4 linked regions of the Caenorhabditis elegans genome follow. The protein of the gene in region 2 interacts with the protein of the main gene of each other region in a pairwise test. Each region holds a gene or a part of one and is shown on either strand. Other genes may lie near its edges. The genes, in order: nhr-251, tag-325, chtb-3 and F21H7.3.

Region 1 (5,797 bases), on a different chromosome or scaffold from region 2:
TAAACTCTATGTTTAGATTTCTGCCCACCGCTGAGAGCACCGAATTTTAAATTTCGCTTGAGAAAGCTTGAAATGACCTTAAAAGAACAAATTTGATAATGAGCCTTCTCAAAAATTTCTCAAAAAAATTATGGTGGTTCAAAGTCCGAAAAAGGGTAAAATGAAATATTTTCAGACGAGGTGTTTTCAAAATTGGTAGTATATGTATGTACATAGTGTATTGGGAAATCTTCTAACAGAAATAAAATAATTTAGATAGACTTAGAAGTTTTTTTAAAATTTACTTGTAAACACTACATAGTATTATGAATGAAAATTTTTCAACATTTTCATTTCGAAATAAAGCAAACATCGGGTTCATTTTCATCCAACTCCCAAAATGTTGATAAAAATTTTACATGGTCTTCTAAAGGATATTTCCGTCATCGGTAGTTTTCCAATTTCTAATGTTAAACGGTGTACATATATGTTCAGAAAACAAAAATCAAAAATAAAGTAACAAAGTTTTATCAAAATTTGTTTATAATTTCGAGCTTCGTATGGTAAATGCAAAACCAAGTATTGTGCATTAAAGCATATATTAATTTTATAATCATTTTGCAGATATGGGTTACTGTAGAAATGTTATTGTTACAGTGAGCACTCCAAAAAATTTTGCTGTTGAAGAAAAGGTTTGGCCAAGTTATGACGTTTCAAAATTGTCTAAAACTATTTTCAATAAAATCAAAAAACTTCTTGTAGGTGGTTGAAAACGGTGATGGACCAATATGAAATAAATTCCACTTTTTTTTTTGGAATTTTTCTCGATACTTGTAGATTCACGGCTTTCCTTAAAAGTGATGAGCTAAACTTGTATAGTATGTGCCCCCGAACCACAATGCCTGTCCGGCAACCTTGTAAGAATTGACTTCCGGGCGAGAAGCGGGAGCAATTTTACAAAATGATCTGTTCAGCCGATCGTGTTCGAATGAGAAAGGTGAAAAAGAAGTTTTATTAGTATTTTTTTAATGTTTTGAAATATCTTTAATAGAATAATGATCATAAAATACATAGTATTTGAAAATAATATCTTCTAAAATTAGTTTGAGATCAATCATTTTTCAGAGAAAAATATATAAAAATTTCAAAGATTATCGATGAGTCCATTCTGTTGATAGAAACGTATCATGTCCTGGTAAATCGTCTGAAAAAGAAACAAATATTATTTTTAGTTTAAATGTTGTAAATTTACCGTAGCTGGCACAATTTGCAATGTGATTTCAGCAATTCTCATTGCAATATCTACGTCGGTCATGTTTGTAGTTGCCTGAAAATGTTAGGAAATTCTTTAAAAAATAAGGCATAGGGATCCAAAGTACCTCATAATGCTTTCGTAGCGCTGAGCAAATTCCAATATATTGCTCTTCTGCCATAATGTTAATTGATATCGTTGAGTCATGGTAGCTAAGTTTCCAGACGCAGAAAGCTTTTAGAGCCGAAAACTCGTAAATATTAAACGTTAATTGAGAAAGTGAAGAGCCGAGAGTGGATTTTATTTGATTAATGAACATGGATAATGGTCTGAAACTCCTGATGATAGTCTTAATTTTCAAAGAATTTCACAAACCCATTATTTTCAAAAAACTTATTCACAATAGACTCGTTGTGCCTAGAATACGCCCAAATGGAGTCCATCCAAACATTTGCAAAATGAAACGATTTGAGAATGACTTCAACATCTCGCTGTCTCAAAATATCAACGCCTGGGCAATTCATGCATGCTTCCATTGATAAGTCATTCAGTGTTTCAGATATATCAACTAGTTCGTCGACAGATTTTACTAAAAGGGTGTTCTGGAAAAAAAAATCCCTAAAATTTTACAAAAGATTTTCCAAAAAAAAAATCACAATCGGAGGGCTATTTAAAATAACTGAAATTTTTATTTGAATTTAGCCCTGGACTCTAAAAAATAAATAACCAATTTAGAAATTCGTTTTTTTTCTCAAAATTTGTGAAAAAAAACAAATTTTTAAATGATATTTAAATTGGAAAAAATGTTCGATTGCCGCCAATTTCTATTACAAAAGGAACGGAAAAAATTTGAATTTTTTTCGAGTTAAAAATTGGTAAAATCTCAGTTTTCACCAATTTTCTGGAAGTCGCCGATCAAAAAAAATAATTTCATAGAACAAATTTTTGAGATAAAACGTTTCAAAAAAATTAGAGCTTGCTAAAAATTTTGGAGAATTTTTTTTCAAAACTAACCTTCAATAACCCTAGTTGTTTGTGAATCATTGACATTTCCACCTGCTTTACATAATACTGTAGTAAATCGTCAGGATAAGTGTTCAGAATGATACTGAATTCAGATTTCTTTGATGGTTCAGCTGGAGATGTTTCTGGAGAAGATGATCTTGTAGATCCGGTTGAACCGGTGGAGCCAGGACTGATTGGTTCAGCAGGCTCAGAAGGGACAGTTCTTGAAGTAGTGTATCCTGAAACAGACCGAATAATTTTCTACAGTACCCCTCAAAATGCTCACCTCTAACAATCTCCTGAATTCCTAGCCTTCTAGAGTCCAAAACATATTTCGGCACATTATTATCGTCCCGTTTTTGTTGTACTTCTAGAAAATTAAATTTTCGAATAAAACATGAGATATCGAGAGAAATAAAAGTAACTCACGTCCTCTATTCATTCCAACACTGATGCATTTGTCATATCGGCATGAGCGGCAGAAGAAGCGAATTTCTAAAACTGAAGTCATAACCAGATATGTAAGATCTTAAAGCTTACCTTGCGAAATTGGACAACGATTTCCTTCTTTGCACAAAAAGCGAATTCCGAATGAGACGGTTCTTCGGAAGAACGAAGCACATGCCATGCAAGAAGTGGTGCCAAAATGTTAGCTGGTTCGTTGAGTTGTTCCACAGACTAGGCATGGATCTGAAAGCTATCAGGTAATTGTTTCTAAAAGGACAGTACACCTACAGTACTTCTACCGTTTCAGTTTGAGTACCATTACAATACCCCGAAGCTATTCTCGGCCAAAGTTTGGCCCAAAAATTATTAACTTGGATCATAAGATTGGTAAACTTGGGCAAAGGTTAAGCAAGACTTTGGCAAAACTTGGATTCAGGCTACATCAAAGTTAATTCAAATTTCCACCAACGCTTGCCTAACTTTGGCTCAAACTTGTTTGGCAAGAGTTGGGTGAAACTTGGGTTAAACTGTGATGTAGCCTGAATCCAAGTTTTGCCCAAGTTTAGCTAACTTCAGATCCAAGTTAATATTTTTGGGCCAACCTTAAGCAAGAAGCTAAAGCCAAATGCCGAGTTGATCCACTAGCTCCAACTTTTTAGTATCCACTCAAATGGCAAATATCATTTCTTTAAAACTACAGTAATACAGTACTTCTTCAGTGTCCCTACAGTCTACTACAGTAACCTTACAGCACAGCTACTATACCACTACAGTACCCCGACAAAGAACTGAATTGGAAGCTAAATCGGAAAATTCCGGGAAAATTGAAAACAAACCTCCTTTACGATTCATTGCGATGAAATTGAAATTGAATACGATAGGATTTCAAAATGCAAAATGAAAATAGACTAAGTTGCGTGCGATGCTTCGGTTCTTTATAGGTACGTTCTTATCTACAACTCATCGAGACTCAAAATCTCACACCGGAATTTCGGAACTCCCCCCATTTTTCGCCCTACTTCACTCACCTTTTGCCTTGATCCTTCGATAGATCCTTCACGTCCTTGATGATTCTCGGCAAAATCACGCTTTTCAAAAGTGCTGTCGGAAAATTTTATATGAATTAAAACGTTATGATCTACAGGTTTTCAGCCGTAAAATTATTAATGATACTGATAACTATTCGAAATTAGACTTTTTGACGCAAAAATACTTCAGTGTTTGAATAGTTAATTACATAGAAGAAACCGCCTTTTTCACTTACTGATATGATCTTTTCGTGTTAGTGTGTATTGAAACATCACTTCCAACGACCTTCTTCGTGAGGAAAAAGTTTGTGAGGAGCTGTCCTAATTTTTTAAGGCCCGTTCTGGTCTTTTGACTTTCTTGTCACCTTTTAGGCTTCTAGGGACATCGTAACAGGCATGCACAATTATCATGGCTGCCTACGTACCTATTTCTCATTGCTTTACATATGTCAAATTTAAATATATAAATTTTAGATAAGGCTCTTGTATGTACTAAAAAACAAACACCACGTAAGTTTTTGACAAGAGGCGTAGGTAGTCAGTATTTGTAGGTTTTTGTCAAAATTGATAAGCAGGCATGCTACCCAAACATCCCTAGACCTTTGTACACTGGAAGTTCCAGTCTGGAACGATCAATTTTGCTCAGTTTTTGAGTTTAGCACACATTATCTTTTCGTTATCACTAGCCTTGACACTGTATCCCCGCCGAAAAGCAAAAAAAACAATTTTTTGTTTCATATTCAAACAGAAAAAAAAACCACTTTTTCATTATACCGACTACACATAACATTTTTGAAGAGCAGTATATTTCTTGGTCAAAAAAACCAAAAAAATAAAACCAAAAGAACAAAAAAACGACAGCCCCAACTTTTTCTAAGACTTTCAGTAATCCTACAGTACCCCTACAGTCCTTCTACAGTACACCGAAAATATGTTAAAAGTACATCTACATTACCCTTGCAGTACTCCAACAGTAACTCTACAGAATTCCTGAAGTACATCATAAATACATTTATAGTACCTTTACAATACTGCTACAGTAACCCTACAACACTCCTACAGTACTCTACATAGTCCCTCCTAACCCCATCTGCTGGTCGTTCAAAAAGCAAAGAGTAATTTTTCTAAATGTATAGTACACCTACAGTACTACTACCATACCCCGACTTTATCTAACCACTGAGCTCAAGTCACTACTGTAATTCTACAACGCTCCAGCACTATCTTTTCAAGTGAGAATACGGTAACCGTCCTTTCCCATCTTTGAAAATACAATGCCGTCCAGTCCCTAGTACACTATTCTTAAAGAAACTAACACAAAATACGAATAGTACGGTCGAGATAAAAATCACCGAGGGCCCTCCTCAATGAACATTCTCAGAGAAAATCACGTATGTCTTTTAGAAGTGATCTTTAAAAAATTATTCAAGGCAAAAATCAATATAATCAGTTGATATTTGTTTTATCAAAACCATTGTTTCCATTGTCTCCATTGTTTGAAATTTAAAATTCATGTTGTGCATTTGTTTTGTTTGTTTAAAGGAAAATTGGTAAATATTTTCCATTATTCATTGAGATACATACATAGCACTTGTCACAATTGCGCGAAATCATTCAGATTTAAAGAAAAAATTAAATATGAAGATGTAACTAATCACTTATTGTGTGTAGTTTTGTTTTGACATTTTTTAAATGTCAACAATGCAACGTTTCAAGATCATAGTCGGAGATTAGTAAATCGGTGAAGTAACGCATTCAACACGGACTGTTGAAATTTGTAGATAAGGTACGTTTAGGTCGTACGGATACTTGTTCTTTTAAATGGATCGGTTGGAAAATATGCCTCCGTGGTACTCTTTGAAATATTTTAGAAGTTAAGACTGACATTGTAAAACAAGTATTTTAGTTTTCTAGTGCTTTATTAGACTTGAAATTGTCTGAAAACACCGAATTTCATTAATGAAACTTTTTGGAAATTTTTCAAAAAAAAATTATGGTGGCTCAAAAAAATGTCCAAAAGTTAGTTGAAATTTGAAATTCGACCAACGTGTCAATGCCACTTTTTTGAAATTTGAAATTACTGTCT
Region 2 (9,274 bases):
GTTCGGCTTGAACAAGATTTTCTATATTTAAAGAAGAATGTTTGATTTTTTATTTTAAATTACAGAAAATGGATAATAGTAACAAACCGAATATAACTGTGAAAAATTACTTAATTTTTCAATTTGTGATTTTGCAAAAAAAGATTTGAAAGTTTTTTTCGATTGAAGAAGTCATATTATGAAGGATTTTTGAAAACAGATTGCATTTTTTCGAAAAATGGTATTATTCTCTGAAAAAAATAAACCAAAAATTGTTTAAAACAATTTTTAAACTTTAAAAGTTTTATTATTGAGACTGTTTTCTCTGATTTAGGCTTTCAAGTTTTTTCTTTTAAATTCTTTTTTGGAAAATTTCAATTTTTGGTAAATTTCGGTATTTTTTCAATTTTCTCAGAGCACATTTGAGGAAATTATTCCACAATTAATATGCAGTTTTTAGGAAAAAATTACCGGCAAGCTCTGATGACGTGGCATACTGCTCCAATTTGATTTTTGGTTTTTCGAATCCTTCGAGCTCATTGAGCATCCAAAGTGTCTTTTTATCCGGCATCTTTCAAAATTTTAGTGTTTCGTATTTTCCTTTTCTTCAATTCCAAAAAAATATGCCAAAAAGAGCTAAACTTTGAGTTTTTATCGTCCGCGCTCGTTTACAATTATCACAATTTATTCATCTTGTTTGAGCGTAGGAAGATTGAAAATACAACATAAAAAAAGAATAAAGCGTAAAAGGAGAAGACTGTAATAAGTAAACGGATGAAAAAAAAAGACTAGCATACTGAAAATGTGTTGAGGAAAATGAATATTACAGTACATATTTACAACATTAATTGATCAAATCCCGAAAGTCAAGGAAAAAAAAGTAGAAAGAAAATAAGAGAAAACGATAAAAGTAATACCCATTTTTCGGCGATAAAACACCCAAAGTGAAACGGTGAGAAATAAGGTCACAACTCTTTTGGAAAATTTGAAAAATCTATAGATTATCGTCCAATATTGACTGGAGCTTTGAGAATATCAAATTTGTTGGCCGATTCGAGAAGATATTGAACAATTTGGGATTGCATAATCATTGAGAAGGCGAGATGAGAATTCGATTGGACAGGAGTTGCTTGAGTTTCTTCCTGGAAATTATAAGTATTTTAAACAAGGAATATCAGTTGGTTTTTGAGTTTTGACTCAATTTTCAATAACTTAAATTACAAATAATTTGGTGAATATAGAAAATGAACGGTAATGACCAATTATAACTGTAAAAAATTTCAAAATTTGTTTAATGATATGTTATATCAATTTTTTAAAGATTTTTCACTCCATTCTCAATAAATGAAGTTTTACAAACCTTTTTCGAAGGTTTCGCCTTCTTTCCAGCTTTCTTATTTTTGGTTGCCAAATTCACGGCTCCATCACCATTATGGAATAGTGTTGGACCAAAAACAATAGCAAGATTATGTTGTTGCATTCGATTTTGTGATGAATGCGAGGCTACACGATTCAAATGACGAAGTAACATTTTCAATGTTTCACGATTCTCGTTTGGAAGTCGACTTAGAAGTTCTTCGAATTTTTTGAAACGAGTGGTCGCGTTGGGCATTTCTGGAATAGAAAATTGGTTTAGGACATTTTAAAACTTCAAAAAAAAAACTTACGCATAGCTGATGTGTATTCCTTATGAAGAGAAATTGGGAAAAGTGGATCGGTTAGCTCTCGGAAAAAGAGTTTAAGAGCACCAGTAAGAACATGAATATCTTCTTCAGACACAAGAGCTTTATAATTGTCTTGATCAGCTTGACATCGAATTTTTTGGACTGCGGACAGGTTTCCACTCACTCTGAAATAAGAAATTTCAAGTTTCAATGCTATTTTTATTTGGTAGTCATCCTTTAAAAAACTGAAAATACAGTTAGAGAATACTCTCGTAACAGTTCAAATTTTTTAAAGATATTCCAAAACTATAATTTTTAAAGTGTGCCTTTAAAAAATACAGTAATTTTGATGTTGATTTTTCATAATTTTTTTGAATACAAATAAATAAATTTTAATCGAAAAACCGCAGCAACTGTGAGTTGGAAATTACAGTACTTTTTAAAGGCACACAATCATTTAAATTTTAAAAAATCGTGTCGAGACCGGGAAAAGTTTTTTCAACGCAAACAGTTCGCATCTGGGTAATGTTTTTCGGAAAAAATTATTAGGTCTACCCCTTTTGATAGTAAATAAATTTTTAGATGTGTTTTGTTATGGCATTTGGTCATTTTTTCACAAAATGGCGACACTTCATGTAATTTTTTTCCAATTTCATAAACTAACCGATAAATTCCATCTGTCTCCAATCCTTTACTCTCAATAACTTCAGTGATAACTCTAATAAACTTCGGTACCAACGAGTTTTCATGTTGACAGATTGCAGAAAGAGTTGATCCGAATACTGGTTCAGCTGAAATGATTCTTATTTCAATATCAATTTACTATATATAAAGCGCGTGTCGTTCCGTCACTATGTAGTTTGATTTTTGACAGAGCAACGGAAATTTGGGAAACCTTATGATAATTGTATTTTCTCAAAAAAAAAAGTCGGGGGCCGCGCCGTAGGTGCGGTCCACGGCTGGTTTGCATATATTTCCAATCTTACGTTTATATATTCCCTTCTCTTTAAGACTTTCCACTGTAGGGCGTGTTCGGAAGAATCTTCTCAACTTCTCAATGATCGTCTCTTTTGATGGTCTTGGTTCATCAGTTGATACACTTGTCGATACCGTTTCAATTGCAGATTGTGACATTGGATCATCACGTCGTCGCATACTTCGGCTTCTTAAAAAACAAAACATTTTCAATAAGACATGGTTCTCTCAGAATTTTGAATTCAATTTTTTTTTTTTTGAAAAAAAAACTCACATTGGAATTAATGCATGGGAAAGTGGACGCGTGCTGCCAATGTATGACGGATTACGAGCAACGCCATTTGTTACATCAATCATCGGTTGGTTTGAAGAGCCAGGAGACGGCTGAAACGATATACATAGTCTTGAAATCTATAATCGGATGCAAAAAACAGTATACGGTCTCGACGCGATCGAATAGGTTTAAATGAAAAAAGTTGTGCGCCTTTAAGAAGTACAATAGTCCATTTTTCTCGTTTTTCTCAAAAAACCTTTTATTGTGTGAAATTGTATGCACAATTAAAAAAAAAAAGATAAGTCGAAGAAAATTGAAAAACAGCAAGATTTATTTAATTTTCCTAGATAGATTTTTTATAATTTCAATATTTTTTGATTAGTGTCACAAAAAAAAAAGGAAAAAAAGGTTTTAGACGAAAAGGCAGGAAAATGGTAAAATAGCGGGACTACTGTAATTATCAAAGGCGCACACACTGTTTCATTTCAGCATTTTCGGTCGTGTTGAGACCGGGTTAGATATTTTTCAAGCGAAAATCCAGCTTAATAGGATTTTCAGAATTTTCTCCCATGAATCACCTCACTATTTGACCGTTGCAGGCTCAACATTCGGACTCTGGAGCAAGCAGTATGCCACATGGTACTTTTTTGAGAATACACAACAAGTAAAAACTTTGCAATAATAGACGGAGAAAAACTTCGGCCGTGAATTCTTATTTCTACAGTCTTGAGAAAGTTGGAAACAACTTGGCAAAGTAGCTTATAGCCGAATAATCTCTTAATTGTACCTGCCAAGGGCGGGAGAAAAAGAAAAATGAAACAAAAACACTTGATTTTTTTTGTCTATTTTCTGGATAATTTTCAAATAAAGAAATCTTACAAGCTTTGCGACAACTTCTTCCAGTGACTTGTACCATTCGACGGCTTCCGTGTCATTGGGACCTCGTAACAGGTATTTCTTCGTGTTACACAGCTCTAATTGAATATATTTCCGTTGTTTCTTCTTTTGTACATCCCGATTGTCTTGATACCATGTCACACTTGCTCCTCGTAAATCCCATACTCCTTGTGGAGCATCATAATGTTTTCCGTGTTTCTGAAAGTTGACAACTATTTGGTATTGGTTGATCTACTGACAAGGAAAGGAAATAAATATATACAAAATATGGCACTTCAATTTGAAACATTATGTTTAGGCTGAGCTGATATATATGTATATAAATATTTAAGCTGCAAAAACTCCACTCGAACCATCTGAACTTTATCAACAAACTTTTCAACTACTTTTATGATCAGTCGAGTTGTTCCAAAAGTGGATTTTTGCAAACTTCGGATCATTTTTAAGCTGTTTAGAGATAAGCAAACATTTCGGAAGCTTTTTGAAATTTTTAGTTTCTGAAGAAGAGTGCAATTTTTTGACCGAGGTGGATGAAACATTTTCAGATCATTTTCAGAAAAACTTCCAAAAAGCAGACAATAATACATCATCTCTGCACATTTTGTTAAAATTTCTTAAATCTTTTTTTCTGCGTTAATTATCAACAACATAAAAAAAACTACCTCTGCACTTTTTTGGTCTTTATACAAAATGAGATGAGCCGTTGTTAAATACATGTAGTTCGTGATCCATTCACGTTTTTTTGGCTTTACAACTTTCTCTGCTGGTTCATCATTTTCACTTCTTTCCAAATCACCGCATCGAATCGTTCGAACAGGTTCACGTCCATCACCACTACCTCGACGTTCTTCACATCGTGATGATGGTGTAAAATCGGCAGAATCTTCCATAAGGATCGGCCGATCCGGCGTATTAGAGTGATATTGCGGATGGTGATCGAAACTTGATGAGGTTGTCGGCAGCACTTGTGGCATTGGAACATTTTTTAGAACTGTACATTTGTTCTGAAATGAGACCGATCTTAGGTTCGTCGGAGATGGACGACGGACACGGATTGCGGTGGGAGTTTTTGATGTTTCATTGGCATCTGGGGGAATCACATACGAAGCCAATTTGTCAGTGTCTTCATTTTTGGCCCTAAAAATGTAACTTTAGTGATAGGATATAACATTATTGAATTTAGGGGTAGCGTCGATGGGAATTTCACTCAAAAATACTCAGGTTGATCTCAAATGCCGATAACTTTTTTTGCATCTGTAGTTCTCAATACTGCCGCAAGTTCTTCATTTTCCTTGAATTTTCAAGTGAAAAGGAAGGTTTTATGCCTATAATGGCAGTTACGTTTCGCCTAAAATATTATTTTTGTCTGAACCAGTCGAGAAAATCGAAGTGAAAAACGGAAAAATTAGCGGAGTTTCGAGGCGCGGTAATTCAAATGAGGCACAACTGAAAATTCACTAAAGTTAGCCATGTTTCAAACTTAATGATTTTTTTTTCGTTTTGCTCCACTATTACAAATTTTGTAAAACCAACCTTGGAAACGTTGATTGAAACGAAGAAACATGTGCATAGGGATGTGGCATCATTACTCCGGATGCTGTAGAAGCTTTTCTTGATGATGTTGGAACAGGTTCTTCGTCAAAATCGGAATCTGAAGCTATGGATCCTTCTATAGGTTTCACATCATCTTCATCTTCATCATCCGTAAAACTGTCAGAGAATGGAATTGGAAGAGGCCGTGATTGAAGATCAATTACAGGTGATGATTGTTCATCCACGTCATCGCAAACTTCATCAAACACTTCTTCATCTTCTATCAATTGACTTTTTCTGTCGTCATCAGCTAAAGATTCACGCATTTTGTTCTCTTTTTGTTCTTCTGATGAAGATGTCGAGGATCCTTGAAAACTGCATGTAGTATCTAGATTCGTTCTTGTTGCACGAAGAAATTCCTGAAAATTGAAAACTGAATGAAATTATAACATCTTACCAGATTTTAATTTTTTAAAAGTAAAAAATAATACCTGAACTTGTGCGGGTGTTCTGATAAACCTCGGTGGAATCCATTGACTTTTTCCAGTTTCTTTATTGAAGAAAAATGTCCGTCCGACGTCGGTCTCGTATTCAAACCAACCATTTAGAAGATCTCTACGGGGCTGCGCGTCGGCTCGCGGAGTCGGTGGAACCGGTCGGCTGAAGCTTTTAAAAATGTTTTATGATGATTTTAGAATCAAAAATGAAAATTAAATAATCATCAGTGATTAAAAAAATGCTCCAGGTGTTGTTCCAACATTTTTTCATAAATATTAGTGAGAAAATATGGAAAAATAATAGATATAATTGAAAATAAGAATTCAATTTGACGAAAGAATTTGAAAAAGTGCTTAAACATAGTCTGAAATTGTCATTTACCAATTATCGAACTTAATTTTTCAGAGATTGGCAAGTTTCAAACCATTTTTGACCTCTTTTTCAAATGCTTCACCCACGATTTGCACACTAATTCCAATTTTTCAAAACATTATAACTAAACCTGAATCATTTCAGATATTTCCCGTACCTGTTTAATTCTTCGATTTCTCTGATATTTGTATACACATGTGATGGATCGTCAGCGTAATTCTGTCCATTACTTTCACGTGGCAATGTGTTCGCGGCGCTAACATTCGTTTGACTAGATGACGAAGAGGATTCGGCCGATTCGGACATCTGTAATGAATAAAATTATTTTTCTCGCGTTCGATGAGAGAGAAAAACTAACAATTTCTTGGAACTGAATAAGATCCGAAGCTCTTGATCCAGCGGGTCCTCCGCCGAATCCAGTTGTATCTGACGGCTGAACAGCGGTGGTCATCATCCGACGAACAAAATCGATAATAAATCACTTTTAACACCACCGGAGAGGCATTGAAGAGAATGATAACGAACTGCAAAAAGGACGAATTGCTAAAATATTCGGAGAGGGAGAGCATGGTAAGGAGAGGAAAAGAAGAGAAAGATCATGTGACCATTGACTTTGTTTTTACAGTGTTTATAGAACAAAACCGAAATATTTAATAAAGCAGATTGATCCGGAAATGGGAAAACAAAAATTATAATTAGGTTGTTAAGATAATTAAATAATGTTCGAAAAGAGAAGAAGACAACAATTAAGTATTCTAAATATCTAAGAAACTTGATACATTTCTTTCCACTTGAATCGATTCTCTCGAATTTCCGTGACTTTCTGAACATTTCGTAACTTTATACCCATAAGAATATCTTACGAAATATTTTTAAAATGAAACATATTTTAATCAACCAACGGAATTGATAAGCAAAATTTCCGATTTTTTGTTTCATTTCAGCTGTCCAATTTCAAAATTAGCTGAAATTATTTATAAATCAGTTTTAATTTAAAATTTTGTACAATTCCAACAGAAAAGCACCAAAAAAACCATCACAAGGAGGCACACACGGGATGACTCATCCGGCCGTCGTATTTCCCTTGTCCCGACTGGAGAAAAGAGAACACAGAATGGAAGAGTAAGATACGCAGACAGTGATACAGAAAAAACTCGCCGTGTGTTCTCTCACTCATTCGGGAGGTTAGAGACAGTGTCTTGGGGCTAAATATTGGAGATACAGACACACGAACAGACGACAATCGATTTAAAGAAATACAGTCATTGTACAAACCTGATAGTGCCGTGACTAGAGGTATTTACTGGTTTAGCTAGTGAAAAGGCTCTTTTTAGACTTCAAAAATTTGTTTTAATAAATAGTTTCATTATTTCAACATATTTTACTAAATAATGTGCCAAATTGAAAAACTATTCACTAGACAGCATAGAAATATAATATTCTCTTAAAAATCAATATTGGAGAACATTTTTGGATAAGAATTCTTTTACCCTTAAGGGTCAATCTTATATAGCGCGTCGTTATCCAGAGCACTTTTTGTCTCTATGTTTTACACCGTTCGTTGATGTTATCTCATCTTCAAAACGAATTTCCTGCAGTTTCTTAGTCTCTATAGTGCCACGTTTTGCGTGCGCGTAGAATAATAAATTCATGTTTTATGGGTCTGTCTGTGTGCACAAGCCGACCGCCCCAGTTTTCCCCCATATTCGAACATCGTTTGATGCCAATCTTGACATGGCAGAGAAATAGGAAACTGAATGCATTGGGGAAGAGAAAAAGAGAAACTGCATTTCGCTTTCAATTATTTGAGTGGCCCGTCGGAAGAGCTCTCACAGCTACTCTACAATTTTGCATCTAAAGGGGTCACGCTATTTAAGCTAACAAATATTTTTTCATGTTTCAGAACACATTTTTCTTAATTATGCGAAACAAGAATAGAATGCACCGGAAAAAAAATTTATAGTAAAATTCGTGAATGACTCGCATCCAAAATATAAAAAAAACAATGTTACTATTAAAACTAATTAAAAAATAATTTTACAAAAACACATAAACAGGATATTTTAAAGCACGTAAAATTTCGATCACCAACTATCCTTATCCGACGGCAACGCAGCATTGATAGCTTCTAGACACTCATTATCAATTGAAGATGTAGTCGATTGTTGTGGTGAAAAGTTACGAGAACGTGCCAATCCTGGTCCTTTTGACATTGGTGGGAGAACTACACTTCTAGTCGTGGATGGCACTTTTGTAGAAGTTTTGGCACTCTTTCCAACAATAGAAGCCGCCTGAAATTCATTTAGCTTATTCATCACAGTCGGCATGGTATTTTCTAGCATAGTTAAAAATATTGTTTTTGTTTTAATGAACATAAAAATTGCAGTATTTTAGCAATAAAACAACAAAAAGCTAGTCTTGATCCGAAAACGGAACGATACCGCACTTGGTATATTATAATTAATGGAATCTAGCAAGAAAATTACTCACAATAACTTTTTGGTTTTTAATTTCCGTGAGAGCAAGAGATATATGTCTCCCTGGAATCGACGATCCTTTTTCTATCTGTCTTCCAAAGCTCATTTTTGGCAGTTTCTGATCTGTTGCAGAGGTAGAGGCAGTAGATAATTGCAATGTTGAAGGATTCGAACTACTGGTAGAAGTATCTTCAAGTGATTTGATACACGTAGTTTTCATCACAGGAACAACAAGATCCTTACTCGCTTTCGAAGATGCCAGATCTGATGAATAAAAATTATTAGTTTTTTTTAATGGAAACTTCTGGATTTACCATTTCGAGGCTTATTACTTCCCCGAGCTGTGTTTTTAATCGGGTTAGACACACCAGGAAGATCTTTTGGAGTTCCCATTACGCTACGGGCACTCACTGTGAGTCCTAAAATAAAATATTACAATCTACTAATTATTTTCAAATGTAAATACCTTTCATACTTTCTGCGACAGACACTATCGGACGAACAACTGGTATTTGATACCGAAATCCTTGTGAAATCGGTAAGCTCGATGATGCGACACTTGAAGTGGGCTCATGCAGTGTCGTTGGTTTCTTCTTTTCAGGAGC
Region 3 (9,169 bases), on a different chromosome or scaffold from region 2:
AGAAAAGAGTGTAATGCACAAGTACTTGAATATATTCGGAGATGTAAAAAGTTTGATTTTTTTATCAAAAAAAAGACTGAAATGCATAATCTAAAAATTTTGGGGCAATTCTTTGGTGTCTTTTTGAATATCATAAAAATCAAATTATAATTTTTTTGCAGATCAACTTATGATTTTAGGATATCTTATGGCGGTGATAAGCTGGTGGGTAACAAAACACAATTATCAAATTTGCATTTAATAATTTTCTTCCTTTCTAAGTTTAAGTCTTTACACTACTCAATTTCAATAAGAATTTCAAATAGAATTAATATCGTCCATCGCGGCACATATGTGATGTTATCTTGAAGCACTTTAATGCATTCTTGTTTTTTTTTTGATGTGTAGAAATGACACGATAGGAACTACCGTTTCAGTCCCCGCTAGTAAAGGAAGCTCCGTGAAATTACCTTCTACTATTTCTACGACACAACAACTTCCTATTTCCTTGTTTCTTGTTTTCAAGGTAAGCGATTTTATCAATTAGAGAGATATGCTTTTCCGGCAAGCGTTTTGCGACCTTGGCGCTGACCCTGGAAAAAGGAAAAAGGGAAAAAAAAAACGGCGCCGTCTTGCTCTGAGATTGACATCTAAATGACCAAAGTTAGAAGTTTCCAAAGTTGCAATGATACATAGAATTATAGACTCTAGTTAAAGCTTGATCTTCGATCAGTAAAACTTCAGCCATCCGTAGATGTAACAGAATAAAAACGGTCTTCAGTTTTTTTAATTGGCCGACTATGTCAATGACGCAACAAATCGCAGCTTATCGCCGATAAGAAAGATATATTGAGGAACACCACGTACATATTGCGGACACTTTCTCCTCATCAGCTTCCACAGTTGTTCTTCCTTTCGAGGTTCGTTCTGAACCCTCATCATCAGCCTTAGTATCTCAGCCGCTCCTTCATTAGGTCTACACTTGCCATCACCCACACCGATAGCTGCCCTTGAAAAAACCGGCGTCACCTCAAACCTTGTCTGCGACTCATTATCTTCATCATCTTTTCTCGCTTCAACCCAAGCCCCGGAGGACCGCTTTCTTCTGTTTTTTACATGCGCTGGGAAAGAGAGAAATGAGAAAAAACCCTATCTGTTCGGTTTTTTTCTGTTTCACTTCCTCGAGGAAGTCATTAAAAAATGCCACCAAGGTGGTAGGGATAAATGAAAAAAAAAGAAGCGTAAATAAGGAAATTTGGGTTTTTCGTCGACATTTCAAACATTATCAAAACACCTGTCAGCTATAATTGTATTAATTCCCAAATAAATCGAAATTAGCAAGTCGCCGTAAATGTCGTATTTGGAACGGTATTAAACATTTAATAAGTGACGTAATCTGCTTGTTCCAATCAGCATCAAGAGGAAAAAGTCTACAAAAAACCTTCATCTCACTATGGGAATTAGAACAGTGAAAATTACAAAAATGTCGTGGTATATCATCTGGGAAAAAAGTTTTTTCGGGTAAAACTATCTGCATGAAATGATCAAAAAACACTTGAAAATCCGACAAACACAATAGATCAAGTGGTTGAGAGATGTGCTCCAGCATCGTGTCTATCCGGAAAATCAAAAACGTGCCCTTTCAGTGTTTTCCGCCAGGGCCGTCATAGCAAAGAAGATTATGGCGGCAACATGATGGTCTGAATTGTGCTATTCTTTCATTTGGGTACAATTGTTTTTTGTGCGTTGTGCGTCTATGAAATTGAAACAAAGTGGAAATGAAATGAATGTGCCAAGGAAAAAAGGAATTAAAGAAAGTATTGAAAAGTTGAAAGTTAATCTGCAAAATAAATAATATATGTAGTGCCGAATTTGGAAAATCACATATTTTTTGGCCATACTGAAAAATTGCGATTATTAAGTATGCCGAAACTGATTTTGAACTCAGTGTCTGAGCAACTTTTGTAACTTTTCAATTAAAAGTAATGACATACTAAAAATGTAAAAAAAACACATGTAGTAGCCATATTCCTAAAAAGTTGTTTTATTAAAAAACAAGTATGACCGCTTTACAGTGTGAATTTCGGAAATAGTAAGTTTTTAACCTGTGTTGAACAAGCCTTAAAACATATCTTTATTCTAAAAAAGTTCATAAATTTTTGGATTTGCAGAACCTCAATGGCTCATTCCTTATTACCAGAACCTCCCTTTGCACTCAAATCGGGTTAATGTCGTCATTCATAAATGAATCAAGTAAAACTGTTTGCAGATTCGACATGACTCATACTCCTGTAAATTGTCTAATTTTCACCAACTCCTCATATTTTGCCATGATATTTCCGCATCGCGAGGGGGTCTTCCATGTGCGTCGGCAGAGCGTCTCTGCGGAAACTGGTCTAATGCTCGACGAGCCGATGCCGCCTCATATAAACGGACGTGCTGCGATATACAGTCTCCGGAAATCTAACATAGCGAGTCAAGAAATCCAGACAGTTTGTCTCTATTCATTCCATATTTTAAATTATATATTTTATACTAATTTATTCATAATTTATATATGAGATGGAGTTATATATTTCTATGTTACCATTTTTAACTATTTTGTTACTGCCACACCCTTCACAAGGTAAATTTTTTCGTGATATTTTGATTAATAGTATCAAATCACTGTATCAAATCATATTTATCTAGACACATTGTGTCAAAAGAAGTCAAATAGCATTCTGTTATTATTATATGATTTAAAACACAGATGAGATATTAAACTATAAAATTTTGATAATCTTAAATACCTTAATTGGAGCATATTTCTTTCCTTTAAGTTGAATCTGGACACGAAATTTGTCATTCAAAAAGAGCAGATTTCTCAACAAACAAAAAAGAGTTCGAATTTCTTGATTTCCACCGCGCGGACGGAAAGAAAAAACAAACGAAAACGTTTCAAGTACTTTTTCTCGTCTTTGTAGTCTCCTTCTAGCCTCTCATCATAAAGTTATTCAGGTCAATTACGAGCAAAATTGATTCATGATTTTCAATTAAAGATGAATCCCATCAAACTTCCGCGTTCCAGTTTATCTAGTTCAAGGGCGACAAATAGTAGTAGTACGCACAAAAAACCGTTTCTGTGGTGGCTATCACTTGCAAGATCGGTATCATGTCATTTCTGATTTTAAATCCCAAGGCATTCAAGAACATACTCAAGGTCGGATTCGCTTAGTGGCATCTAGAGGTTCAAAGAACCAAACCCTAAGACAGAAAAATGAGTAAAAGGACAGTGACAAGTGAAACATCACTATAAACTAAAAAACTTATAAACTTAACTTCGAATCGGGCACTCAAATATTTAAATTTTAGGGATCGAAAACTCTCCGTCCGCTGGAAAGGTGTGCATGACAGTTGAACATCTAAGACCTGCGGATAACTCGACACAATTTTACGAGTGTGCGCCACTCAATGAGGATGAAGTAAAAGGATACGCGCTGAGCAAGAAATACCTGGGTGTCTGGAACCTACGAGACTGTCCCAAGGAACACGAGTTTGACGAGCCGAAACAACGATGTATCGAGAAGAAGACATTCAGAAGGTGAGTTTTGAAGAAGGAGTAGGAAACATTTTGTAGATAATTTTACGTAGAGAAAAAATCTGAATTTTTTAGAGTTTCAGCGATTCCCCCAAACTTAATATTCTTTTTTCAAAAGTGGAGTAGGGCCAGTGGTGGTGAAATTGTGAAAAAAAAACTGAGTGGTGAAATTGTGAAAATGTGGTGTACAAATTACCAAATATCACAGTGAAACTGTTTACATAATTTGAAAAAATTATCTATTGACAGTTAAAAGGTGCATACAATGATTGAATATCAGTATGTATATGAAACATAAAGAAACCATTAAATTCAAAAGAAATAACTTTCTAATAGACGATTTCTAAAAAAAGTATCAAAAACTGATTACCACTTTCTGAAACAATATAAAGAATTTCTCATTTTGGCACCAAAAGAGTGGTTTTTAACAATTTCCCCACTGTCGCAGTTTTATATTTAAGTAAACTTCTTCAGAACTCAGAGTAAATATTTTTTAGGCAACAAGTCGCTTGCGCACAAAATGTTCAGGCATCCGGATGTGTCTCTGCTTGTCAAGGTATTTCAAAAATTGATTGAACAGAGTCAAAAAGTCTTCTTTATTCAGCCCCAACCGCAGTTGCTAACCAGGGTATGGAATGTAATTGGCGTTCGTCCCCACTTCAACAAGATCCTGCAAGCAACGCATACTTCTTCCAGTGCGTCCCATCCTCGCCTACTGAAGGATGTGGAGAATGGACACGTATGCAATGCTCCCAATCGACAGTTTTTAATTCTGATTTGAATGTTTGTGTACCACTTGCCATCCAGAACTCATGTGATAGTTCCACCCAACAGCCTGTTTGTAGCTGTTCTCAAGTTTCCAGCTCTTGCCCAGGAACTTCCCAATGTCAAAACGTAGGTTTTGATGTATATTAGGAATTAAAAAACAAATTTTAAAATTTTATTACAGAAAGTTTGTTGCCAACAAACGGATACTCTAAACTTGAACAATTTGATTCAACATCAAGCTCCCCGTAAGTTGAAAGATTGGAAAAATACCTATTTCTTGATCATTTTACAGTCTGCCCCGGTTCAAATGTGCCACCACTTGGTTCATGCAACGAGCAGTGTCCGCAGTGTGAGAAAAAAAAGCTAACAACTAAAACTTCTAAAAAACAATGTAAACATTTCAGACTCTGCTTGTACCCCAGGATTGGGATGCTGCCCAGTTCCAGTGAATGAGCAACCAACAGGAATGATTAAAATTAGTAAGTAAATATAAAAATATTGCTGCGAGCACTATTGACTGTGCACATTGTACACTTTGCGGACCTTGCGGACTTCACTGTCCTGCAAATATAAAAAATTGTATCGATTTCTGGGACTGTATGTTGTATACATTATGTGATACGGTTTCTTGCAATTTCAAATAAATTTCTGTAACCGTGCCCAAAAAATAAGTTTTCCATTTATTTTTATTAAAAATGGTAATTTGATCAAAACATGAGGTTACGTTGCTTAGCCTAAAGTTGTAAAAGAGATCACGGTATTTTTCATCAGTTACAATTTTTTGAATCTTGGGCATCTTTTTCATACGATTTTTTCCAGCTCTCTGCCCTGGCTCTTACTCCCCACCGTTTGGAGTTTGTGGATCTTGCCCATCTGGAACACAATGCAACCAACAACTTCAAATGTGTTGTCCTCTACAACAACAACCATCCACAGATATTGTCTACAATGTTGTACTTCTTTGTCCTGACGGAACACCATCGACAACTTCTTGCTCCAAAGGATGTGGGCCAAACAATGCTTGTTTCCAGGGAGCTTGTTGCCCGATTCGTTGCCCAGTTGGACAGGTGGGCAATTTCTTATTTAAATAAGAAAGTACAAAAGTCAAATATTAAATTTTAGAACGCTGTGGGATTCTGCTCTTCTGGATCTTGCGGAGTTGGAAGTTGTTACTCCAAAACAACATGTTGTCAAGAGCCAATTAAACTCCCGGTGTGCTCGAACGGCATGATTTCTCAAAAACGTTGCCTGGTCGCAGCCGAATGTGGCCTGAACCTTGAGTGTTCAAACGGTGGGTGCTGTCCAATACCGTTCTGTCCAAATGGAGTAACAGCCCGTGGCCGATGTTCTCAAGTGAACGGATGTCCAATGGGGCAAGCTTGTATGGAAGGTCTTTGCTGTCCACTGCCAAAATGCTCCAATGGTATAACATCTCTCGGAATTTGCACAAGAACCTTGGATTGTGGTCGAATCGGTGTTGACTGTAACAACGGAGCATGCTGCCCACTACCAACTTGCCCGAACAATATTGCATCGTCACAAAGATGTTCGGGTGGATGTACGAACTGTTGTCCAGTAGGACAGACATGTATGAACGGTGGTTGCTGCGATCTTCCGTCGTGTCCATCTGGTGGATTTGCAATTTCAATGTGCACTGGGAAATGTGGAACTGGCTTTGAATGTGTGAACAGCGGTTGTTGTTCTCTTCCAAGATGCCCAAGTGGTCTAATGTCGGTTCAGAGGTGTGCAATGGGAATCGGGTGCCCACCAGGAAATGTAAGTTTTGGGTTCAGTTAGTTTATTACGCAGCTTTCAATTTTTTTTACTACTGACGTTCAAAATTTGATAACTACAAAGCACGACTCGACAATCAAACAAACAAATTTTTTGTAGCAATGCGAAAATGGTGTTTGCTGTCCAATGCCAATGTGCTCCAGCGGAAGTATTGCGTCGTCTGTTTGCGGAATGGCTAACTCTTGTCCGATAGGTTACATTTGCGAAGGTTGTTTTTTCTTACTGAAAAAATTAAACAAACATGTTTCTTGCAGGCCGCGGATGCTGCTTGGAGCCACTTCCTTTGTGTCCAAATGGAGGAAGAGCTTCAATGAGATGCTATCGGGGAGCAGAATGCCCACCAGGTTATGGATGCACTCCACTAGGTACTTAAAATGAATTCAAAGAAATTAATCTGAGCATATACTTACAGGAGGTTGTTGTCTTCTCTCAATGGAACCAGTGTGTCCAACCAGATCCAACGCAGTTTGCCAATGCTCACCCAACAATGTTTGTCCGTCAGGCGCGAGCTGTACTATGGGCACGTGTTGTTCGAGCGGAATAAGCCCTATTGTCTCGTTCAGTGTTCCTGGCACAAGTTGCCAGAATTCGAACCAGTGTAATGGATTCCAAAGCACGTGCGCACAATGTGTTCAAGAAGTTTGTTCATGTGTCAATGGGGCAGCGTCGAATGGAGCAACGTGTGAACAAATGGCACCGACAGTTTTGACGTTGGCAAGAAACGGATGTGATCAATATGGTTCTCCATGCAAATTCCTTTTGTCGACAGCACGACGACGCCCACTTTTTGCACCGATTGGCAATATGACTGAAACTCCACGTAAGAATAGTTATACGAGTATATTTTCAAAAGTTCAAAAATTACAGTGTTCTTCAACGTGGCATCCAAAAGAAAATGTGTCGCCAACATTCAAAATTTTGATGCCGACTCAACATGTCTTCCAAACGAAAAATGTATTGACGGAGAATGCAGGATGTAATGCTCTTTAGGAAGGCAATATTTATATGGTTTTTTTTTCAGGAAACTGTGGCCTGGAGAATACGGTTGCCAAACCGACATTGAATGCCAGTCTAGATGCCCGAACACCTACTGCGAAAAGAAGAAGAGTGATAAAAATGTTCCACAATGCCAATGCACGAATGGAATGCTTCTCTATGGAAGATGCTGTTAGTTTCTAAGAACCTGGAAGTTAATGTCTAATTTCTGTTTCAGTCTCCCAGTGTCCACGAGGATTCCACGAGTCTGGAGCATTCTGTATGCACGACGATGAAGACAAATTTTGGATGGATGCTGAATCCCAAGATAATCTGAAAGCTCTTTTAAATGCTGGCAAATGTTGATCTCATGAAACGCCAAAAGCTCCGCTATAAATGTATATATGGACTTATATGAAAATGTATTGATGTTTAATTAATATTAACATGAAATAAAAATATTTATCCGCAATATTATTGTTTTCAAACCTCATATGACACCTGAAAAAAAAACAAAAAAGTCCTAGACCTGGATGCCAGCACAGTAGAGTATACCTACATTTTATTAAATGTTTATTATAATAAATCAACTTTAAAATACGTCTTAAAGATGAAACATGAAACATAGCGGGTAATGCCGGTTTCATCAGTCTGACGCATTTTGGCTTCAAGACGTCAAAGTTAATTTTGAATAGACTTTGACTCTCAAGAAAATCTGAAATCTCTTTTCATTGCTCGTAAACGTTCGTCTCATGAAAACGTAAGTGCTCCGTTATAATTGTGATTATGGAACTGTACAAAAAAGTTTTATTTTTATTTTTTTAAGAAAACAATTAAATGGAAATATAACTTATCAGCAATATGATGTGGTCTTACAAAATAAAACCAAATGGAAAGAAAAGAGAATTAAACATTCGGATACAGTTCAACATCAAAGGTATGTAAAATTTTTAAAAATCCGTATGAACAAAAATATGAAACCAGTTGAAAGAGTGAAAAAGATCGTGTTTCTATATTGAGATAACTATGTCTTAAGTATAGTTTTAGATTTCACGTTCTGTGAAATGTCGGTGAAGTTTAATATTCTATTTAGTTTTAACAATTGAACAAAACGTTAATATATTTGATCATTTAAAAAATCTCAAATCTAATACTATTCCTAAACAAAAGGTGTTGGGAAAATAGTTGTCACACATCTCGCAGTTAACTGATATGTTTAGATCCAATTAAAACAATTTCCGGCCTAATTTCTTAAAGTCTAATGCATTTTTTGAGAAAATGACATAAATGGAACGCCGCATTCAATCGTGAGAACAGTTGTTACTTGAATCGCCAATGATGTTCAGAGGGAGGGATCTGAATCTGAACCTTTGAAATGCTTTAGTGAGATGCTCTTAGAAACAAAGGACCTTACGATAGATGCATGACACGGAGACATGAAATACAAAGAGATGATAGACAAAAACGAACGCTGTGAGGCACGATAATGCAATTGTGAAACACCCTACTGTCATATTCACACTGTGCCTTACATCTACCGATTTTCACTTACCTTGTTCTCGGCTGATTTGCACTATCTTTTCCACTGATTCCATCTTTGTATTTGCACGACAGAAAGCACAACTTCTTTTTCATTTCTTTGCGAAAATGTTTACTGCAACAAAAATAAAATTGAATACCTAGAATACTCTACTCCTTACCTGCTCATGCAAAAAAGTATGAAATTTGCAACTTTGGAGCATGTGACAACGGTTGTGGAAACTTGAACACTTGTGTACATCCATCTTGTTGAGTAAAGAACGTTATGAAACAGGTTGCTGAAATTAGTATACTTTTCTTGTGCTTTTTCAAAAACTTCTAGAAATTAAATTGAAATAATTGCTGTTTTTACTTCCTGAGATCAAAAAATTAAAACAAAAACTTACATGTAAACATATAGGCATGCAGATGGAATATGTGAAACAATGTAGCATGTGACAATTGCTATGACCGTATAAGTTACATGACGTTCGGCTTTGTTCACATGGCGATTCCAAACACCACTGAAAATTGCAAAATTGAATAATACAAATT
Region 4 (6,698 bases), on a different chromosome or scaffold from region 2:
ATCTCCAACAAGGAAACCCGATTTGTTCTCTTTAAGAATTCGAGTCAATATTTTGAACATTAAGTTTTTTGCTGGAATGTAAACTTTGTCATGAATTTGCTTCACTTCTTCCATTGTTTTTCCAGTTTTCACGGCATCACGGTAGGGATGGAGTGACGCGTAGTACTCATTAAACTGATCAACGATAGAATCAGCAAAAGCCTCGTCTTCCGGTGTTTTTCCAGCGTAGCCAAACTTTCTAGCCAGATAACGATGAATTGCAGAAGATTGAGCAAGATCAAAACCGTCGATGGAAAGAACTGTGAATCGGCCAAATGGGGTCTCTGAAAACAATGTAATTTTTTGATTGTCTGGTTAGCAAAATTCTTTCAGCTAAAATTGTCAAATTGTCAAAAGTTATTTTTAAATTTCAAAAAGTTTCTTGAGTTTCCTGGAAGCTTCTTGAAGTCATCAAAAATTGTCTGAAGGTTCCAAAAATTTCCTCAAATTTCCAAATGTTTTTATTCCAGAATTACCATGACATCTCCTTGAAATCAAAAATTGCATGACTATCCAGAAGTTTTCAGAAAGTGTCAAGAAGTCTCATGAAATTTCAAAAATTTCTAGGAGTTTCTTGAAAACTCCATAAATATCCAGATGATTCTAAAATTATTTTAAGTTTTCAAGAAGTTTCCCGAAATGTTCAGAAAAATCGAGAAAATCACAAAAATTTATCGGTTTTTCCACAACTTTCCAAACCTTTCCTAGCAAAACTTTTTTCTGATTGAATATGAATTTTCCGCCGAAAAGTGGAAGGGCTCATGTTTCTTTAAAGGTGGACTATGCTCAGTGGGCTATTAGTTTGACTCACTGTCTTTCAACGCTGAAAATTCGTCACTTTGAAATCCCGGAACAGCATTGATCGTCGGCAGTCGAACATCCTCATATGGTACCCCACCAAGATGGAATAACATTCGTGCTGACTCTCCAAACCCACAAGCATCAAAGTAAGTCAGTTTGTAAGAGGGCATATTTTATTTGTGAAGTTAGTTGAATCAATAAAGAATTTATACCTTTACCAACCTTTATCGATGACTCTTATCGCGATTGCAACTTTTCCCCTTATCGCAAAAAACTGCAGAGACAGTTCAAAATGTGGAGGTATTATGTGAATATTAAGAAATCATTGCATGATTCATACCTCTATTAAATGAAATCATGATTTTATTATATTTTATTGGTTTACATATGAAGACTGTACTAATGGGTGATACTGTCTGTACGATCTTCAGAAATTTTTTTATGGATTTTTAGCAGAAAACGAGAGCTGTGATTGAACAAAAAAAACTATTCCTTTTGTTTTTGTTAAAAATTAAGTGTTATTTTTAATTGCTTGTAAAAACAATGTCATGTCGGCAAAACAGATGCATTTTCAAATTATACAATATGTTAAATTATAGAATATAACTATACAACCACATTGTAACTTTTCTATCAAACTTTGCTTTACAATTCATGCAAAATATATAAATAGTCCCTATCAAGGAGACTATATAAGTTATGGAAGCAATAATACAAAATCCGGAAACCGAGAAAAGAACAGAAGATTTGCATAAATAAATCGGTCGGCCGAGTTGTTCATAGCTCCAAATAGCTCCAAGGGCAACCCTGAAACTTTTCTAGTTTTTAGACATTTGTAAATTTGAAATCAATTACGCTATTAACATGACTCCTTCCAACGCATATTTTATTGATATCCACCAAAAATTTTCGAACCAGTTTTTCTTTCTTCCATCTTGCGGAACATCCTCCATGAGTTTCTTCACTTTATTGAATAGAATTTTCCAATAAATAATTCTATCAATAATAATTAAAATACCAACAAAAATAAGCCATAATGGAAGAAGCGGGTTCTCACATTTTCCTTGGTTTTTAAAGCCGATTGATAGGAACCATATTGGAATAATAAGGAAGAATAAGTTCAAAATTACCAAGTAACAAATATGGTGTGTCATGGTCGAAGAGAAAAGTTGAAAATAGGTTGAATTAGTTGTGTCAAATTGTTATCAAATAGAGTGGTATCAATCACTTCCTCAGTCCCTGTGTTCGCGGAACTTTTGAATGAGTGAGAAAGAGAGAGAGAGAAAAGAAGAGAAACCAAATTTTAGTCACAGATTACACTAAAGTAAGAGATGAATAATGTATGTTAAGTGTACTGGCATTGACCTACGGGATTAAACTATCAGGATTTGTAACTTATTCTAACCCATGTCAATGTTCTGAGACTTACATATCTGCCCGCGCTTTCTTCATTTCGAGTCACCAACATCCTATATACCGTGAGAAATACATTCAATATAGTTCAAATGTGAATACAACACTCCAAGAGTTAACATTTTGTTTTAAAGTATTAACTGTTTTACCTTTCTCCTTCGGCACAAAAATCCTGTGAAATCTGGAGACAGCTCAGAAGAACATCGACATAGAAAAAGGCTCTAAGACCCCCGCTCTAGTGAAAGTAGATGGCTTGAGTTCAAGAGACCTAATGGTTTTAAACTGTAATTAATTTTCTTCTTCAAGTTCACTGCAAAATTATTTTGAAAAACATTTTAATTGTAAGATGCAAACTAAACTCAAATATGTTAACCACAATTTTCTGTTTTTTTACAATCCCGGTTTGGTGATGCCGTTTTATTATATTTTTTATTACCAACCGCCTGTTTCCTACAAAAAGCAAGAGTTTCTGCGCCGGAAAGTCAGAAAAATGAGGGTTGCTATTCTATTCCTCCTTTTTGCAACTTCTACGCTTGCAATTTTTATTGACGGTGGAGGGCGAGGTGGTGGAGGTGGGGGAGGCTATTACTCCCACTCTTCGTCTTCGTCTAGCTCATCGTCCGAAGAGCATGGCCATCATAGACCGCCACACAGGCCCCATAGACCACCACATAGACCACATAGACCACCAAGACCCCCACCAAGACCTGAGTGCGATGAAGGATGGCTTCGTTTTGAAAGACCTAATGGTGTTTGGTGTATTAATGTTAGTTTTTGGCTTCATTTACTAAAGATGACATACATGTTTTCAGGTTGTTCATAGTGGAGTAACAAATGGGTATTTCTCTCAGCCACAGGCTCAAGCTGCTTGTTCTGCGTCGGGAGCTACTCTAACCGGATTCCAAAATGACAATGAGCGTATGACAGTTGCCTCTGAAGCATTGAAGAAGCTCACCGCAGCTGGCGGCCAAATTGCCGGGCTTTGGCTCGGAGCAACTAACACCCCGAATTGTAAAGTTGCAAGCTGTGAACCATATGCAACTTACACCTGGACCGATGGGGACACAACTGGCAATGGAGGATTCAAATGGGGACGTGACGAACCTGATAACCTGAATTGGCCGTAAGTAAAACGTTTCAGAATTAAGTTTCATAGAACAAATTAGAGGGCCCACGATCTGTATTCAACAATTTATTATGCAACCAAACTGGGTGGTGGGGCCAAATGATTACGCTGTATGGAAAAACTATTTCACCAATGGAGATTTAGACAAGTACCAGTGTGGCGCACAAGCATACCCATTTACAAGAATGTACGTATGTGGAAAGAGGGGTGTATCACGTTAAACGTTAAGCATGCCAATAAATTATTCAAACTTTCGTATTTTTTTGTTGTAATTGTCTAAGTTAGTAGAGTATACCTGGTCTCTCGCAAAACTTGTTCGATGTCGGCTGCAAACGGAACAGACGGGTTTAAAAGTTCCGTTGTTCAAATATCAATTTCAGACTACACATGCGTTATATAACGTACATATTCATTCCTTCACAATTACTAAAAAATTAAATCTTCTACAAAGAAAAGTGTACAGTACGCATGTACAACTTCCTCACTCTCTATTTACTGCAGCCGACGCTTTGCGGATTGCGCCGTCGCATTCAACAGCGTGATGTATACCCGGAAGTAACCTGCACTGGGATTGATTGGACTTTAGTGTTACACGCTGAAAAAAGTTGCAGTTGATGATAATTTAAACTGCTTCGAAATTTCATTTTGAAAAAAGTTCTTACGTTGGTTATACCACCGATTGATCATTAATTTCATGGCATTTCGATAATGTTTGTGAACCGATAGTATCACAATACATTCTACAATTCCGTGCAATGCAATACAATCCACTGCAACGTTCATCAATTCTTGAGAATATCGGTTCAAATATAAAGAAACTGCGACAAGAATCACAGGAAGCGTCATGAATGAGAACAGTGTAAAAATTTGGAGCAAAGTGCCAACAAGGAAATTTCTTTGATAAAGTTGAGTAGCCATGGAAACGGATTTCGGAGGTGCTATATAAAGGTAGTACACAGTGCACCAGATATGAAATAAAAAATGAGCCAGTGTGTTGAGAGCAAAAAAAGGTATATAGACGTAAATAACCAAGTGTAGATTATTTGTATTGGATATCAAAATGTAGATCGGGAATATGAAAAACTCTTCCGTGGGGCAAGGATACATAGTCAGAGCTTCACGTTTGGCTGTTTTCTGGTTACTTGGAACATTGATTAGAAATAATGTTAGCGAAATACCATTGGAGAGAAAAATTAAAAAGTGATAAATTATTCTCCTTTTAGTGCTTTGAATTCTGAATTTATTTTGGAGAAGGCTGTGGCTCCGGCCTTCCAGAAGATACACATACGAACTTGCAACGCCTGAAATTAACATTCGATACTAGTAAACTAAGAAAATATGGAAAAATTAAATCGAATTCCACAAAATAATTAGAAAGCTATTACAACCAGTTAACTGGCGAACCAAAATCTTTACTTGGTTTTGGTAACCAAAAAAAACATTTTTTCAAGAAAATACTGTGATGAATATTTTACGATTTTAAAAATAAATGTACATACATCAAGCTTTTCTGTTTAACACATGTAGAATTTCTAGCGCCCGACATCTAGCTGGCTCAAGAATCAACAGCGCCTTCTTGCAGAAAGCAATATGACCCGGAAGCTGTCGGGCGCTGCCAAATAGCTTTTTTTTAAGACGAACGTGAGAATTCGATTTTTTTTGAGTTTTGCTATTTTATTTACACAACGCTGTAATAACAATAAAAGCCAATTGAACCGAATATGGAATCCCCATCCAACTGAAAACACCAACTCCAAAAAATCCGAGCATTGGAAGAATCACATAAGTAGTTGAAAGCGTACAGAATATAAAATCAAATAGAGCACTTGCAATATGGTTTATCAACAAATGTTTGGTGCTATTCATACTTTTTGGGGTTTCATACAAAATTGCGTAAAAAGAAATAATTTGAAGGGGAAACGCAACAATTTGAAATATTTGAGGAGGATACGCAACTCTTTTCCAAGAAGCCAGAAAACTTTTTGTAGTGTTGCACTTTGGATATTGCAATTGATAATATTCTTCTACTGTTTCCAAAATCATATGTGAAAACAAGAATAACTTTTGGAAGCTGAGTGATATATTGGTTTCCTGAGCATAACAAAAGTGCAATAGTCTTATTAGAGTTGTTGTTCCATTCCGAGGAAAAAATAGCATGGGAAAAATTAATGCAACGTAAATAAGGAAAGTCTAAACACAAAAACGAATTATCGTTTGGTCTAAATGGCCTATGTACACGAAAAGTTAATATTATTTATTTATAATGTGACGTTCAAATAATTTTTTTTTAAATATCACTGAATTAATTGCACTTCTCGAACCACACGTCCTGTAAAAGCGTACCTCTTAGTAAAATTTTTAAAACGAACACGATTTTTTGAAAAGATTAGAAAAACAAATTAAGCTACACACAAATGTTTTATGAAAATTAAAATTCAACATTTCCCGCAAATATTTTTTGATGTCATTAAACTTTGATTTCCGATTTTATGAAATATTTAAACCCTAATTTAAAGAAATTTTAATCTTGAATTTCGAGACTTTTCTCGTAAAATGTGACGTTGAATTTTGAAAATTTTAATTTTGGATTATAAAATTTTTTGAAAGCCTAAAATTTCGCTGCAAAAAACATTTCTGAAATATCAAAATGCAAATTTCACAGCAAAACTTGAAAAAAAATTAAATTAAATTTTTGTATTCAAAAACAAAATTTTAATTTTAATTCCCGCCAAAATTTTTAAAAATTTAAAAATTTTCATACACGTGAACTTAAGAAAACATTTGTGAAGAAAACTTAAAAACAAAATCGATTTAAATTTCAAAACGTGACAAAACTTCAAAGGTTGAACTGATCTTATCAGCGCCCCCTCCCCCCCAATCACAGTTTTCAAAATCAGTATTCAATACTTGTCTCCATAAATTGGAGTTTTTCGACGGATAAAGAAGTACCAGCTGGAATCGAAAGATCTAAACGATGATCTCACTGGTTTCTGTGATTGCCACCGCCTCGGCTACTAGCACCGTGCTTGCCATGTGCTCCAGCAAGGATCGTCAAGCGGTAAGTGTTTCAAGTTGCTTTAGCTCAAGCTTCATCTTGATTTTCAGGACCGTAAAAAGACTAAGAAGGGTTCCGGATCCAAGTCTTCGCGTGTTTCTTCGAAGTCCCATAGATCCTCAAAAACCAACAAGAGATCTGGAAAATCTGGAAAATCTGGAAAAACTGGAAAGTCTGGAAAGTCTGGAAAATCAAGCCGTGGAAAATCATCAAAATCTAAGAAGCCTTCCAAATCAAAGGCCGGAGTTCTTCCAATCCCCGGAG

What was found.
Region 1: the proteins of tag-325 (region 2) and nhr-251 interact in a two-hybrid assay, tested with the Caenorhabditis elegans proteins (one large-scale study listed by BioGRID).
Region 3: the proteins of tag-325 (region 2) and chtb-3 interact in a two-hybrid assay, tested with the Caenorhabditis elegans proteins (one large-scale study listed by BioGRID).
Region 4: the proteins of tag-325 (region 2) and F21H7.3 interact in a two-hybrid assay, tested with the Caenorhabditis elegans proteins (one large-scale study listed by BioGRID).

The regions. Positions count from the first base shown.
Region 1 is NC_003283.11:597,662-603,458, reverse strand, and holds nhr-251 (Nuclear Hormone Receptor family), read right to left. Parts: upstream 2,929-5,797; 5' UTR 2,865-2,928; coding exon 2,777-2,864; intron 2,732-2,776; coding exon 2,666-2,731; intron 2,607-2,665; coding exon 2,523-2,606; intron 2,476-2,522; coding exon 2,246-2,475; intron 1,834-2,245; coding exon 1,607-1,833; intron 1,561-1,606; coding exon 1,359-1,560; intron 1,307-1,358; coding exon 1,232-1,306; intron 1,184-1,231; coding exon 1,124-1,183; 3' UTR 990-1,123; downstream 1-989.
Region 2 is NC_003281.10:4,794,283-4,803,556, reverse strand, and holds tag-325 (WW domain-containing protein tag-325), read right to left. Parts: upstream 6,719-9,274; 5' UTR 6,647-6,718; coding exon 6,551-6,646; intron 6,499-6,550; coding exon 6,350-6,498; intron 5,989-6,349; coding exon 5,814-5,988; intron 5,742-5,813; coding exon 5,323-5,741; intron 4,927-5,322; coding exon 4,452-4,926; intron 3,988-4,451; coding exon 3,772-3,987; intron 3,003-3,771; coding exon 2,893-3,002; intron 2,809-2,892; coding exon 2,630-2,808; intron 2,435-2,629; coding exon 2,308-2,434; intron 1,829-2,307; coding exon 1,647-1,828; intron 1,594-1,646; coding exon 1,340-1,593; intron 1,122-1,339; coding exon 981-1,121; 3' UTR 650-980; downstream 1-649. Other genes in the region: rRNA N(6)-adenosine-methyltransferase metl-5, read right to left, coding at 451-550; mip-1 (HTH OST-type domain-containing protein), read right to left, coding at 8,277-8,483, 8,683-8,933, 8,984-9,088, 9,136-9,274.
Region 3 is NC_003284.9:6,312,926-6,322,094, reverse strand, and holds chtb-3 (EB domain-containing protein), read left to right. Parts: upstream 1-2,448; 5' UTR 2,449-2,541; coding exon 2,542-2,605; intron 2,606-3,333; coding exon 3,334-3,562; intron 3,563-4,056; coding exon 4,057-4,115; intron 4,116-4,163; coding exon 4,164-4,453; intron 4,454-4,508; coding exon 4,509-4,572; intron 4,573-4,619; coding exon 4,620-4,676; intron 4,677-4,731; coding exon 4,732-4,806; intron 4,807-5,146; coding exon 5,147-5,394; intron 5,395-5,449; coding exon 5,450-6,103; intron 6,104-6,220; coding exon 6,221-6,329; intron 6,330-6,375; coding exon 6,376-6,486; intron 6,487-6,533; coding exon 6,534-6,941; intron 6,942-6,988; coding exon 6,989-7,097; intron 7,098-7,142; coding exon 7,143-7,288; intron 7,289-7,334; coding exon 7,335-7,462; 3' UTR 7,463-7,566; downstream 7,567-9,169. Other genes in the region: npr-38 (G-protein coupled receptors family 1 profile domain-containing protein), read right to left, coding at 8,398-8,464, 8,649-8,750, 8,797-8,913, 9,022-9,138.
Region 4 is NC_003283.11:16,231,262-16,237,959, forward strand, and holds F21H7.3 (Serpentine Receptor, class E (Epsilon)), read right to left. Parts: upstream 3,910-6,698; 5' UTR 3,865-3,909; intron 3,806-3,864; 5' UTR 3,675-3,805; intron 3,638-3,674; exon of another isoform or gene 3,601-3,637; coding exon of another isoform or gene 3,420-3,600; intron 3,377-3,419; coding exon of another isoform or gene 3,066-3,376; intron 3,020-3,065; coding exon of another isoform or gene 2,663-3,019; intron 2,080-2,662; 5' UTR 1,995-2,079; coding exon 1,696-1,994; intron 1,648-1,695; coding exon 1,434-1,647; 3' UTR 1,390-1,433; downstream 1-1,389. Other genes in the region: gst-22 (glutathione transferase), read right to left, coding at 1-323, 851-1,010; clec-233 (C-type lectin domain-containing protein), read left to right, coding at 2,663-3,019, 3,066-3,376, 3,420-3,600; srh-98 (Serpentine Receptor, class H), read right to left, coding at 3,910-3,974, 4,042-4,486; F21H7.5 (Major sperm protein), read left to right, coding at 6,354-6,437, 6,485-6,698.